2 linked regions of the Astyanax mexicanus genome follow. The protein of the gene in region 2 interacts with the protein of the main gene of each other region in a biochemical or structural test. Links are inferred from orthologs where the notes say so. Each region holds a gene or a part of one and is shown on either strand. Other genes may lie near its edges.

What was found.
Region 1: the proteins of drap1 (region 2) and dr1 form a complex in vitro, tested with the Homo sapiens proteins (2 studies listed by BioGRID). The link is inferred for Astyanax mexicanus from reciprocal best matches to the Homo sapiens genes DRAP1 and DR1.

The regions. Positions count from the first base shown.
Region 1 is NC_064412.1:51,507,193-51,515,019, reverse strand, and holds the start of dr1 (protein Dr1), read right to left. Parts: upstream 3,016-7,827; 5' UTR 2,367-3,015; intron 1,634-2,366; 5' UTR 1,630-1,633; coding exon 1,407-1,629; intron 1-1,406. Other genes in the region: zgc:109982 (retinol dehydrogenase 8), read right to left, coding at 5,184-5,420, 6,547-6,730. UniProt on the Homo sapiens protein: The association of the DR1/DRAP1 heterodimer with TBP results in a functional repression of both activated and basal transcription of class II genes.
Region 2 is NC_064432.1:18,622,973-18,629,940, forward strand, and holds the start of drap1 (dr1-associated corepressor), read right to left. Parts: upstream 3,016-6,968; 5' UTR 2,920-3,015; coding exon 2,878-2,919; intron 739-2,877; coding exon 666-738; intron 111-665; coding exon 17-110; intron 1-16. Other genes in the region: c25h11orf68 (UPF0696 protein C11orf68 homolog), read left to right, coding at 6,128-6,856. UniProt on the Homo sapiens protein: The association of the DR1/DRAP1 heterodimer with TBP results in a functional repression of both activated and basal transcription of class II genes.

The sequences.
Region 1 (7,827 bases), on a different chromosome or scaffold from region 2:
TAATCAATGTCAAGTAGAGGAAAACAACCCATGTAGATGAAAACAACAGGAAGTTGCAAAGTGCACCAAAGTGTTACTAAACTGCAGAGTGAAATCAAAACTAGATTAACAAAATATAAGTACCTCAATGTAACACACACACACATACATACATACTTTGAGCTGGACTTTCAGGTGTGGAAAAACCTTAAAAACCATGAACTGTCCAACAGAAATGCTCATAAAAACTATTTATATTGACTTCTAAGTGAAGATGAAGGGGGGAAAAAAGAATCCTTACATTATTTGTGCACTAGCACTTTTCTTCAACACATTCTGCTGTGCCTGATCTCTTGGCTAGCTATGTGGGCATGTTCGTGATGTTTTTAATTCAAAGGAAGCAACAGAAGCAGGCAATCATAAGTTTTTAAGTTTTAGCTTTTACATTTTTTAATCAACCTCATTGTAATCTATAGTTCTGTCAATACTTATTCAGCATCTCTTCTGTAGTAAAAAGGCGCCTGTTCTGTGTGTACTCCTTGTATGCCCTGCTGAACTTTTTCACCGTACGACGAGGCTGCGTTCAGCACAACGCAACCCACCACAGCATGCCGCGACTCTATCCATTGAAATTGGATAGGATGAGTCAAGTCCTAGTGGACACGTACAGTTGCCATCTGAGATAGCAAGCTTTCACATGGCAGCAGTAGCAGTTCAGTGGTGTCCTAAAGATGATGAGGGTTACAAAATTACACCCTCCATTGTTGAGCTACACCACCTTCAGAGCCTCCAGGCACATCTTCTGTAGACCAGGCTCATCAACTACACACCATCTGTCACCATCTCTACTGGACCAATACCAAGCTATTGTTGACCTAAACCAGCTAGAGTGGGTTTCATCCAACAGGGGAACAAAGGGCAGTGATTGGGATGGGCCTTAAGTTAAAAAAAATAAATATATCTTTTTAATATTTTATTACAGTATGCTGTATTTTGATACAAAGACACTTTTAAAAGAGAATTCACAAATAAAAACATGAATGCAATAAGTTCTGATGAAAATCGGTTTTGCTGATTCCACTCAGGGGCGCGCACCTGTACTCAAAGGGAGTCAGATTCTGGCAGGAAGGCAGAATTCAGCACAACACCTGGAAAGGCAACTTGCAGAACTGACAATATTCTTCAAACCAATGAATATGTGCGTCAAGTAAAGGGAAATACAGCCAACGTAGGCAACGATTACAGGATGCAGTAAAGTTCTTTAATAAATTATTAAATTTACTAAACCAACTAAATGCAGTTAGAATCCAAAACTAACCAAATTAAACGTACCGTATACAGCGTGACAAAAACATGAACCTTGGCTCTGACTGGTCCAGACTTGGTCCAACAGCAGCAATAAACATTAGACATGCAGAAGCTCTCACCATTGATGACGTGTTCTGGAGAGATGGTCTTCTTCTCAGACTTGTTGCAGATCTCGTTGGCCTCAGAGGAGATGAGGTGGATAAACTCTGTGCAGCAGTTGACCACCAGCTCTCTGGCGTCGTTGGCCACTCGCACATTGGGCAGTGTCTCTTTGATCATCTTGTTGATCGCTGCCCTCGGGATGGTCAGGTCATCATCATTTCCCGACGAGGAGGCCATCATATGGCTATAATGCACAACATAAATTATTAGACATAGATATTTATTTGGCCATATCTTTTACTTGTTTGATATATTTAGGATATACAAATATTTCAATATTCCAATTGCAGTGTGTGAATACTAGGGGTAGGAATCACAGGGCATCTCACAATTCGAGAATATCACGACACGATGCCCACGTTAACAACTATATCCCAATACTTGATATATCACATGGCAATTTTCTGTAGCTAACCCTAGTTATATCAGTGGCATAAAACAGTTTCAAAGGACAACGATAATACAGTTTTCTGCAATTACTACTGGGACAATACAGAATCATTTAAAAGTTTGGACAAACCTCTCTCATTCAATGTTTTCCTTAATTTTTTTTTTTTTACATTGCAAATTTAATGCTGAAAGAGTTTTCTCAGCATCTTGAAGGAGTTCCTGGAGGTGCTGAACAATATTTGCTGCTTTTCCTTCATGCTGTGAAGCTCCAGCTCATCCCAGATCACCTCAGTTAATCAGGTTTAGATCACGGGATGTTGTGAAGGACAAACACTTTTTTTAACTGTTTACTACGTAATGTGTCCCTTAATTGTTTTTGTGCCTTTTGTGTATTAATTTATAACGCACAAAATTATATATTATTGAAAAAATAACAAAAAAACATTGAATGAGAAGGTGTGTCCAAATTGTGACTGGTACTGCAAAGCTACATCAGCCAGAAAAGTAGGCTATCGTGACAGACTTACTTGGAGCTGAAGCCAAGGATGCAGAGTGAGGGAGGAAAGGAGGAGACCTGCTGTGCTCTTGTGCACTCCTGTGTGCACTCCCGAGGGCACAACGGGGCTCTGGGCTTTACCTGGAGCTGCTGGAGCAGACAGTACAGGTACCGGAGGCTAAATGAAGGTGTGAGTAGTGAATGAAGTGAGCCAGCCGGCTCGACCAGAAGCTCCACTAGCTTTAGCAAAGCCTGAGTCCGTGTGGAGACAGCAGCTAATGCTAAGTTAGGTAGTAAACAAGGTGTAAAAACTATGTATCTACTTACTACTACTACAAACACACAGTGTAAGAGCCCAGTCGTGTGTTTTAGAGTTTAATAATGAGGGTTTTCGGTTCACTGGGGGAGGGCTGAGACTGCTGTGAGTCCTGCTCCCCCGCTTTTGTCTCGGGCTGTGTGTCTGAGCCCGGTTGGAAGTGAGCTCGGCTGGAGGCTCAGTGAGCCGCAGCAGCGCCGCAGCACCCGCTCAGCCCAACCGCCGCCATCCCTCAGCTCAGCCCAGCTCCAAAACACAGTGCCTCCCGAGCCTTTAACTCAAAACAGCCATGGTTTTAATCCCCCCCGCGGTCAGCCAGCTCCCGGACTCAGTCCCACAATGAAGGCTAAAGGATATCCGACCACCGGGCTTTCTCACTTCTTCCCCGCTCACCTCCACGCGCTCGCCCCCTAGCGCCCCGGCGTACCACCGGCGCGGAGAGAAGAAGAGGGGTCGAGTGGGCGTGTTCCAATCCGAGCGATATGTCAGGGCTAGTGCACTACGTAGTGTGTCAGCTGCTTTGAAGTCGTGTTCGGAGCATAGATATACATTGTGTATTTTTTTTGGCTCTTTTTGATTTGATCCTTTTTATACTTGAAGACGAGGTTGGGTAAGGAACTTCCCCTCAAAGTCCAAGATATATTGTATATTTCTGAGGAGAAATTTATTTGTGTACATTCAAATGTACACACATTTAAAAATGAAAAATGTCATAGATCCACAGATATTTTGAAGCTTTTCAATTTTATATTTTATATGAATCCTTTTCCCTTTTCTGTATGTTGTGCACAAAAAACAATATACAGTCTATGGTTCAAAGTGACATTAAGTTATTTTGATCACATCCGGGTGTGACTTATGTTCCAGCTATATGCATGCATGTATAAATATGTGTTCATGTTTACAGTTATTAAATAATTTCTAATGTCTATGTATTTCATAATTAATTATTAGTAGGTATTATGTGGGTGATTAGTAAGTGATATGACCCTAAAATTACATCACAAAAAAAATTGCGATAATACTTGGCATCTTATGTTAAAACATAAAACTTTCAAAATAAACTTCAGGAAGAATTCCTTTTAGTAGGAACAAAAATAATTTCGTTTTTTATTAAAACAGTACTTAAATGAACACAGGAGTTTGTATTACTGTGGATACAACTTTTGAAAAATAAAGAAACAGTAAATAGGTGTGTGTGTGTGTGTGTGTGTGTGTGTGTGTGTGTGTGTGTGTGTGGAGATCCGTTCCCCGGTTTATCAGTAAACGACTAGTGAACGCTAGAGGGAGCTTGAATAGAGCTAAATGGCTAAGAAATCAAAAGATGAACAATTTATAAACACCTTACCACATATTACTTTAATTGTAAAAGGTAAAATAAGGAATTTCCCCTAAAAAAGTAAAGAAAACTTGCCTGTATGTTTCCATTTTTCCTCACCAGGCGCCAGCATAACTGCTGCTGTGAGCTGACTGGTTGGTGAGCTAATGTTGAAATAACAGCCAGGGCACTGATTTTAAAGAAATTAGTAAGTAAAAGTCTTTTTTTTTGTGCTAATTATTTAAATTGTTTTGAAAATTAACTTCGATATAAAACTGTGATGAAAGAAATAGTAAAACACTAATGTTACAATATAAGGTAAATAGCGATACTAATAATAAAATTCCTATATACAAAATAAGTCGAACACTCAGTTGTTTTGCCACTTGTTTCAAATGTATGACAGTCATATTTTGGACTAGTTTAAGCTTCTAAAGGGCAGGTTTTAGATTGACTTTGGACTGGATATTTTGTTGGACCTGGCAACCCTGTTAGCAGTTTATGTTAGCATGTTGTAGCATAACCCAGCTGTGGAAATTACTTTAAATGCCTGACATTACTATGCTAGTGGTTTTGATAAAGTACCTAGCTATGATAAGCAAATCATGTGCTAACATGTTTTTTTTTTTTTTTTTTTACTTTCTTAGAAAAAAAAAATGAAGATACATCCTGATCAATTTACAACAGAAAACATAATCTTTATTAGTCCTTTAAAGGTAGCACATTTCTCATATTTTTCTACCGAAAATATAATCCTTATTGGTCCTTTAAAGGTAGCATATTGTTAACTGTCCTCCACACACACAGCAAAGCACCTAGGGATGGATTCCTGGATTAGGATTAGGATCCAGATCCAGATTCTGGAGGAAATCGTTTTGTCGTTTAGGTAATGTCCGTGAATACTTTAAAAGGCTTACAATTTGTGAGGTGGTCTATTGGAGCATATGTCTGCAGCTGTACACTGTAGATCAGATACTGATCCAGTATTAAGCCTTCCGGTTATATCTTCCATATAAGAGAATGACAGTTCCAGACGCTCAGGTGTTATATAAGCCTTTATCGAGGTAGCACACAGACCAGGTAAAAATACATTCAGCATAATAATGGTCATAATCAGATTATCAGATTCAAAATAATCTGCGTGCTATAGCTAAAAGAGGAAAGGGGTTTATAAGGGACGGGCAGGTGGTCTCTGTGGGGTTCTGGCACAGCCGTTAAGACTTGTCCTTTTCCAGACTGCTGAAGCTCTTGCGACTCCTCCAGCGCAGCAGCTTGAGGAAGTTCAGGCTGGCGCTGAAGACCTTGTCATGCTCGAACACCACCTTATAGAAGGTATCGATGGGCAGGTCACCGTTGGGGTCAGCGTATTTAAGGGTGGTCACTGGAGTGTACAGGGTGTTGGTCTGATGACGGAATGGTGGGTTGTCCATTGTGATGATTTTGAGTGTATGCTGTTGAAGGAAGCATATGATTTTTTGATTAGACAGTTGGATATCCACTAGTTTAGCAGACACTTTAGCTGACATATCCATTCTCCACTTACTTATGTGTTTTTTTCCAGGCAATATCGCAACAAATCTTTGTCAAATTTCCCAATAAAACAAATGACTGTAGATAATATTAATTTGCTTCTTTTCCATCTGATTTATTAAACCCCTCTTCCACCTCCACTGTATTTGTGTTTGGATAAATGTTTTAAATGTAGTTCCTTTAAACACAGAGGCAGCTCCTCTCCTGTGGAACCTGGTGGAAATAAGTTTGATGGAGCTCCTCAACACTGCATACTTTTTAAGTTGTGTTTAAAACGCTGTTGTTCAAGCAATAAGTTAAGCTTTTCTTTTAATAAGTGTGACGTCCTGTAGCTAAGCATATGATACTACCGTACTAATCCTGTACACTTATTATCACTGTGGTTGTAATGCTTATCAGTGGTCCAATGGTCTCAATCTGGAGCAGCTGAACAAACATAGATCTATTGCCACCATGCCTAATGACCAGGCACAATCTATATAGGAGCATGCTTTATAGCATTAAATTGGCAAGCAGTGGAACTGTGTTCTCTAGAATGATGGTGCTCTATCAGTCAAATTCCTTTATTCCAAGGATTTGCAATCTGATCCTCACAGCAATGCTCCAACATCTAGAAGAAATCCTTTCCTTGACAGTAGAGACAGTTACTCCAACAAAAGCACAAAAAACTATTTTTAATACCATCTTGCAGAGTAAATAATGAATGAACAGGTGTCCAAATACTTTTGTCCAAATAGTGTTACTTGAATCTGGTCACTGTTATTTGCATTGTATAGAAATTTTAGGATGAATAGACCAATAGAAATGCTCCAGAATGACATAAGAGTAAATATTTTTTCCACTGAAAGTTAAGAATGCCATTTCTTCTCTAGTTCTACAAACATTGCATGACAGTGACTGTATGTTGAATATGTTCTATGCCCTAATAAACCCAAAATGGAAACATTAACAACTCCAATTTTCAGCTACTAATCATGATACATTCGCCTTTTTAACCATGAACCTGAATATTGTCCATTATTACAGCCCTGTACTATATCTGTGTACCTCTGCAATAACCTCCGGCGTCTGGCCCAGGCTTTCGAATATCTGGGTCCAGTGCCTCATGTAGATATTGAGAAACATGTCTGCAGTCACTGAGTCCACTTTAGACATGTCGCTCTTCATGCCCTCCTCGTACACTTTATGCTCAAAATCTGTGATGACTGGTCCTGGTTCAATTAGGCTTATGCTGGAAAAGAAAACAGAGACCATTAGTACTATACTAACGCCTGTATTAACATGCCCCTGGAATTTCGCAAAACTCGGCATACAGTTGATTCTCAGGCAGATATGTAAATGATTACAGGCATGGTCTGAATATACATTGGTTCTTGCCATAAGAGTGCTACCCCCACCGCCCTATGCTACTTTTGAATAGTGTACCTTCTGGTGAGAGATTGTTGACTGCAAGTCATGCGTCTATGATGCACTCAAGACATTATTCCCAGTTGACACAGTAAGACACAATCGCCCTCAACAAAACCCCCTCAAGCAATCCATTGGGATCCAATCCATTTGGGATTCAGCAACAGTGGGGTTAGAGTATGGAGGCCTCTTGCCAGGATGCCAAACAGAACCTGTATGCCACCATGCCCAACCGTTTCTCATCTTGTGTTCATAAAAGGCTGCTCAAAAGGGTACTTTCTACCAGGGCTATTAAAATGCACAAGTGAAGCACTTCTCCCTTATGAGGAAATGTGTCATAAATCTGTAAGTTAACTCAAATCCACAAGCCAAGTCTGAAGATAAACCCAGAGAATCCTCTGTAAATGAAAGTAAGTCGTAGCTGCTCCAGCCAGCAGTCAGCTGTGCTTATGTAATATGCAGCATTGCTAGGATATTGCGATTCGAGTGTGCAGATGTTCCACACACAAGGGTGTGTGACCCAGGTGTGTATCTGCACGCACATGCAGTCTCATGACTGAACTCTCTTATCTGGCCAGAAACCATTAGGGGACTTTTCCAATCACAAATATTACAAGAAAATGGAAAAGGTCCACTTCCACAAACATCCTGTTTAGTGTTTTGGTACAGCTCTTTTTGAGTCAAATATTATAAAAAAAAAAAAGTTTGAAAAAACTTAAGTCAACCTCATTGTGCCATCTCTACTAACTGGCAGAAGTGTGGCATCCTCTAGAAATCCACTAGAGATCAGTGTGGTTGCGTCTCATTTGCACACTAAGTTGAGTATACTCAACTATATATTCACAATGCATACTTAGAAGATAGTATTTAAGTATGGTTGCAATGGACACTATTGTCCAGGGTTTTAATCAATCAGTGGTG
Region 2 (6,968 bases):
AGTTAAAATTACTCACAAATGCGATGTTGTCATAGTTTTGGCGTTCCGTGACTGGGTAACATGACAGGCTTTCGTCAGAAGAGACTCCAGAAACAGCTCAAGTGCCCGCGCTCGAACAGGGGTTAAAGAACCAACCAAACCAAGAACATCAACTACAGAGTAGAGAGGGTTATTAATCAACGCCAAAATAACAAAATATCTTGAAAGTGATTATTCACTTAAAAAAACCCTATTAAATCAACTAATCTCAGGTTATGCGATGCAGTGGAATGCATGGATCATGTGATCCAAGTGTTACCTCAAGGGACAGCTTGGGAACACCCACATATTGTAAGGTGTTATCTAGTGAGTGAGTGTGTGGGCATTTAAAATTCCTTAATCCACAGAGTCAAGTATTAACCAGGAATACAACATAGAAGGCATTACCACCTACAGTGGATAGTTCAGTGTATGGTTATGATTATGGCTGACAGCATCTGATTAGAAATGTGCATGTCCATCTTTGCACTGGACATCTAACTCTACAGAAATATTTAGGGCAGTAAAAGAATTAGCAATATTTAAAGGGCAATTTGCATAAGAACCTCAAACACTCTCATACTGACACATTTCTAAAACACTGCTGTACAACAGAAGACAGAAATATGTGAACTTTCAAAGGATACAGATAATAACGGGAACGGCAGCAGCGACTTTTCCTATTTCTTCATCTGTCTGCATAATCTTCTTAATTCTTGCCTGAAAGTAATACAAACACACATAGTGAGCGTGAAAAAGCTAGACAGATATTTTGGGAACAAAAAATGTAATTTACATAACAGTAGTTACTGAATAGCCACATACAGTACAGCTGGGTTCAGTGTATACTGTACAGAATACACTACAGGACACAAAAACATACTTAACACTGAAAGCTAAAATGTAACAGTGAATATTAAATACTAGTTATGCATTTCTGTCATTTTTTTTAGTGTGGAAACATTTACAGTGTGGAAATACTTCAAATTGGTGCTTTACATTCTATCAGACTTAGATATTTTCCTGTGCTTGAAACACAAAACCTTTACCAGCCACATCTTGTTGTATTTTAAATAAAATAAAGAACACAAACGTGCTCCTTTATTATACTACTTTATTGTAGTACTTATACTTATACTACTAATCTACCACCTGAGTCTCTGAGAGACATGCAACTATTGTACTTAAATGCATACTGTCCAAAAAAGATTTTCTACTAGATTAAGAGCATTCATAAAAGAATGTGATTACATCAATAAATTAGAGATGTACAATCTTATCTACACAGGGCTGCTGTGGTTGCAGATTTCCTTTTTTATGGAAAAAAAACAGCAGCAGCACACTTGGTTCCTCTTGTTTAATCAGTTGGTCAGTCTTCAAACAACTAATCACATGTGCTTCTGCTTCACTGGAATAAAAAACTGAAGGTACACCACTCTTTGTGGAGAAGAATGAGGCCTCTGTAGTAAATGGAGCAGAAAAATGCCACAAATACAAATGGTATGTAAATATTGTTGATATCTAAAGTTGGTTAGCAGCATAAGAGCAGCTGAGTAGCCTGCTGATATGTACAGAGCCAGAGAGCTGTTAATATTATGTTAAATGTATTCATTTTAAAATCACTTTAAATTTTATACCAAAAATCTTTTCTGATTTTTTGTTAAATAATTTTTATTTTATGTAAAATATCTCTGTTGAATTTTCACTAAATATTTGTTCGCTTTATGCCAAATATCTTTATTAATTTTATGGTAAACATCTGATAATTTTATAACAAATATTTGTTATATCTTTATGTTATATATATTGGTGTCACTTATCTATATTTTACATCAAATATCTCTCACCTAAACATCAAATATCTGCTCATTTTATTTTAAATTTCTCTATTAATTTTTCATTAAACATTTTTGGTTGTGTCAAATATCTCTGTTCATTTTACCATAAACATCTGTTGAGTTTGTGGAATAACTCTGTTAATTTTACTATAAACATCTGTTGATGTTATGTCAAATATCATTTGTTACATAAAACGTTACCTTAAACGCCTGTTGGTTTTATGCGAAATATCTCTGTTAACTTTACCATAAACATCTGTTGATTTTATGTCAAAAAACAATTGCTGGTTTTAAGTCAAATGTCTGTCAATTTTATGCCAAATATCTGTTAGTGTCAGTTAAATGTATCTGTGTTTATAGGTAAGTAAAACATCTGTGTTCTGTCTGTACAGTAGCTGGTTAGCTGAGTTTTCACTTTCCAACACAAACTGAGGGAACTAAGTTATGTTAGCTAGCTTATGTTAGCTACTTAGCAAAAACCTTTACTAGCGTTAGCTAGCTGGCTGGCTACACACAAAGATTATCCAGGATCATGGCTACATTAGTATTGACCAATTTGAACCACAGATTTTAGAATACTGCATAAAATAAAGTGTAAATTGTTTAATTATAAAGCTACACGGCCTCTGAATAATGCTGAGGACTGCAGCTGTTAGCTAGGCTAAGCTAGGCTAAGCTAAGCTAAGCTAACCGAACTCTCAGTTCTCCAGCGAGCAGCTGTACAGTAGGATTAGCCGGACCCGCTGAACCGCTCTACATTGAGTCTATGGGCTTCTCCAGCTCTCGGTATTACACTGGGTATTGTTTTAAACTCAGAATTAAACTTAGACTCGAGTCTAGACCAGGTAACAGAGTTAAACCCAGCCACAGGTTTTACTCCTCTCATTCAGAGTGGGCGTTAAGATAACAGGAGCTCCGCTAAGTTAGGCTAGGCTAAACTGTGCTAAGCTAACGTTAGCATGTACATAGAGAATCATTGAGCTTAGCATTAGCATTATCAGGTGAATGGGAGTAATCTCACCGGGGGGAATCTGGCGTTATATTTCTTCTTTTTGCTCGGCATGCTGTGTTTTACAGGACTCCTCCCGCTTTAGCCCGTGTGCTCTGTGTCTGTACTCCTTTGTCCCGCTGCCGGATCGGCTCCAGGCCGGGTTTAGGCTCGGTTTTAATGATAAACTCAGTGTTTTTGGTTCAGCAGCAGCGGCGGCTCCGTCTCCACCTCCTCCTCCTTCAGTCCAGCCGGGTCTCGCAGGGTCGCAGCTTGATCTCCGGCTGCGCTCCAATTTACAAGTGTGTTCAAATCAAGCCCATAACAAACTCAGCATGCTATAAAACAAAATAAAATAAAAATAATAGTGAAATTTCGCCTTAACTTTAAACTTAAACCTGTTTTTATTCGGTGTTTAAATATGGAAATACATTCCTGTCAGGTAAATGCCCTTTCTGGCCTTCTCAGTTTCTGGCAGCAGGATGCAAATCTTGATTCAGTAGGCCCTATCTCAATCTTAATCTCTAAAAAAACAGTTTGTCTTTATATTTCCACATCATATATTTCAAATTTATCATTATTATTTAAGTTAAAGGACTGCCGTTATGCCAAATATTAGCAAGTATTTTTAAATAATGACCCGGGAACAGGTTATTATTGAACTACTGAAATAGAATTACAAATAGCAATAGCATAGCAAAAAAAAGAAAGAAAAAATGATTTTTTCAAAGGATTGTCATTTTTTTGTGAAATCTAATTTCCTCCACTTAAAAAAAAACTTATTATTAAGTAAATTGCAATCTTATGATTATGAGGTACTAAGTCGTTATTGTGAGATCCTAAATCAACAAAAGCATTCATATAAACGACTTAGTATCTCAAAATAATGATGTATCTCAAAATAACAACTTAATATATAATATAATAAAATAATGACATAATATCTTAAAACAACAAGATCGTACATGAACATGACTTAGTATTTCAATGGTTTCTGCACATGTAGGTAAAGTTAAAAGGTGAATTGGGTAGTTTCTGGACCCACCACAACCCTGACCATCAGGGAAAAGAAGACGAATGAGTAAATAGATTTTATACTAATACTATACTAATTATTATTATTATTATTATTATTATTATTATTATTATTATTATTATTATTATTATTATTATTATTATTATTACCTAATAGTATTATATCCAACCTCCTCTTCACATTTGAAATTTGAAACTCTTCTTAGTTTCAAATTACCTTCAGAACGCATGTGACTGTTTTAACTCTTTATAATTTCTATGTTTTTATTAATTCATTTGTTATTGGTCTTAATTTAATTTTATTATTTTCTATATCATTATTATTTACTTTTTATCTATTTGTTAATTTTTTTTAAATCTCTTACATTGAGAAGATTTCCTCTTGATTTACTGCGAACATTTGGATATTTTCTTTACAGCTTTAATCTTGTAATGTTAAGGCTTTAGCCTCGTAATATTGCGACTTTATTCTCGAACGAACTGTTTTTTTAAAGAGTGGCCCTAAAACGCCGTCGTTTAGATATTTTCCAGTTGTTAAGCGACCTGTGGGGGAAGTAGGGAAACGAGCACACTAGCTAGGTTAGCTAAAGAGTGTTCGAAGTAGACGTGGCCTTTCTAGTGTGCGAGGGGAGACAGCACGGGCGCACAAATTGGGACAGAGCCAGACAATTCAAAAACAACGCATTAGCTCGGCTAGCTGTGGGTTTAGCGGCTGTTTTAGTGGTTTTAAAGGCGTGTTTGATGCCGCAGGTGAGCGTGTGCGGGCTGTATTGCAGTGTGAGCGCTGTATAATGCGCAATAGTGAGGAATTCTGTGAGTTTTCTGCTTTATTTCTCCTCTCTGGTGGTCGGGGCTAGTTGCAGCTGCTGCTGTGCTGTGTTTGGGGTAAAGTTTGCTGATTAAAGTCAGTGAGGAGGCTAAAGAGTGAGCTGTGTGTGGGGAGAGTCTTCTGTAGAGCTGTGGGGTGAAGGAATGAGTTTGTAACCTGTCTGTGCAGTGTTCATTAAGCTGTGTGTGGGTCTGCAGATCTGCAAATATAACTGCTGGTGTTGGGTCCAATGTTGCTACCCTGTCAAAACGTGCTCCCAGTGTATAATGTGTATTCATAGGTAAATCTGATTGACTAGTAGTTTATTCAGATTGGTTGAAAACATGATTTAATGTAAGTGAAGTTTGGTAGGTTAGGTAGAAGATATGTGGATATAGGCTAACTAGCCTGTATAGTACACAGTATAGCAATTATAAGGGTATATACGGTGTATTTATGTATTTGAATAGCCATTAAAACTCGTGTGAGACTCAAACAACCAATAACAGTAAGTCTAGACTGTAAAACACACTGTATGAGCAGATTTATCTCGAAAAACACATGAAAACGTAAAAAAGGCACAAAAAATTTTCAGCGCATGCGCAGTAGTGATTGTCACATGTCACATGTGGCATTTTTCTGAGTCGGTTCTTTTGGCTCGGCTCACTAAAAAAGGGCCGGCTCTTTCAACTCCCAACTGGCTCCGCAGATTTATTATTTGCTTAAATTAATCTATTACCGATTTATGTGTAAAATAAATCACTTTGACAGTACCTATCAAAAGTTTGGACACACCGCTTCTCATTCTATGTGTTTTCTTTCTTTTTATAATTTATTTTTACGTAGTAAATTTAATATCAAATACATTAAAGCTATACAGGAACAAATGCAGGATTATTTGGTAAGCAAACCAAAATATGTTTTACACTTTAGATTATGAAGTGGAAGTGGCACATTTACCTTTGATTACATATTTGAACACTGGTATTTTCTCTGTGTTTTCATGAGAGAGTCACCTGGTTCACATAGAATATTTTCATTAAAAAGATACTTTATTTCAGCAATTCAGTTCAAAATGTGAAACTCATATTATATAGACTTATTACACACCGAGTGATCTATTTTAAGCGTTTTAAAATTTACTGATGGTCAGTGATGGGTTGGAGAGTCATGTCTGCTGGTGTTGGTCTACTCTGTTATATCAATTCCAAAGTCAGTGCAGCGTTTTTTTTTTTTCCGGAAAATTTTAAAGCACTTCATCCTTCCCTCTGCTGACAACTTTTATAGAGAAGCTAGAACTGTGAAACTGCCTTATAATCATACAGGTTAACTCATAACTTTTTTTTTTGGTCTCTCTAACAGAAAAAGAGTGCCTTACACTAGCATATAGGACGTACGCTACCCGTGTACCAACACTCAACCCCGAGGTCCAGAAGAAGGATGGAGGAAGAGGAGGAACATGCCGAGCCTCTTTCGGCAGAAGACTACGCTGCCGAGGCCTTGGCCGCAGACATGGACCCGTGGATCATATTTGATGCCCGCAAAACGCCTAGAGCCGAATTCTACAGCTGGCTGGAGTCTAACAGGCCCTCCCAGGTGAGCCGTTTTGGAGACGAAGAAGGTGGTTTGGGCCCTGTGGGCTGGATCTCAGTGTTGGGTCCAGATCATGGTCCGGAGTACCCGGACGTGACTGGTCTTCAAGAAAGCTGGGAAAAGCTCCTGGCCAGTGGGCGCCAAGTCACTTTCCAGACCATAAAGGAGCTGGCATTGAACCACAATGTGCTCACAGGCAAATGGCTCATACACATGGACACCGGCTTCAAGGTGGACCGTGCCTGGGAATGCATAGCCAAAGCCGTGCTAGATGGGAAAATCTCCTCAGCCAAAGTGAGCCCACGAGATGCGAACTCTGAAGCCAAGCATGTCATTTGCGCCTACAACAACAACTTTGCAGACGAGGAGCAGGTCATGCAGCTGGACGCGGCCATAAGGGCTGCTGGGGTCAAGTGCTCACTCTCTTACAAGCCAGACGTCTACACTTACCTGGGAATATACCGAAATAACAAGTGGAAGCTGTGCCCAACCATCTACGAGAGCAAGTTTGATTTAGAGTGCGTGCCCAGGCGCTCACACATCATCAATAAAGTCACCAACCTGGAGGTTACATAAGGTGCATTGAGTTAGTTTGCCTTACTCTTTAATGGAATAGTGCAGTGGCTTTTAACATGACCTCTGTTTACAATATTGTATGTAATGTATAGCCAGATGCCACAGGCAGCAG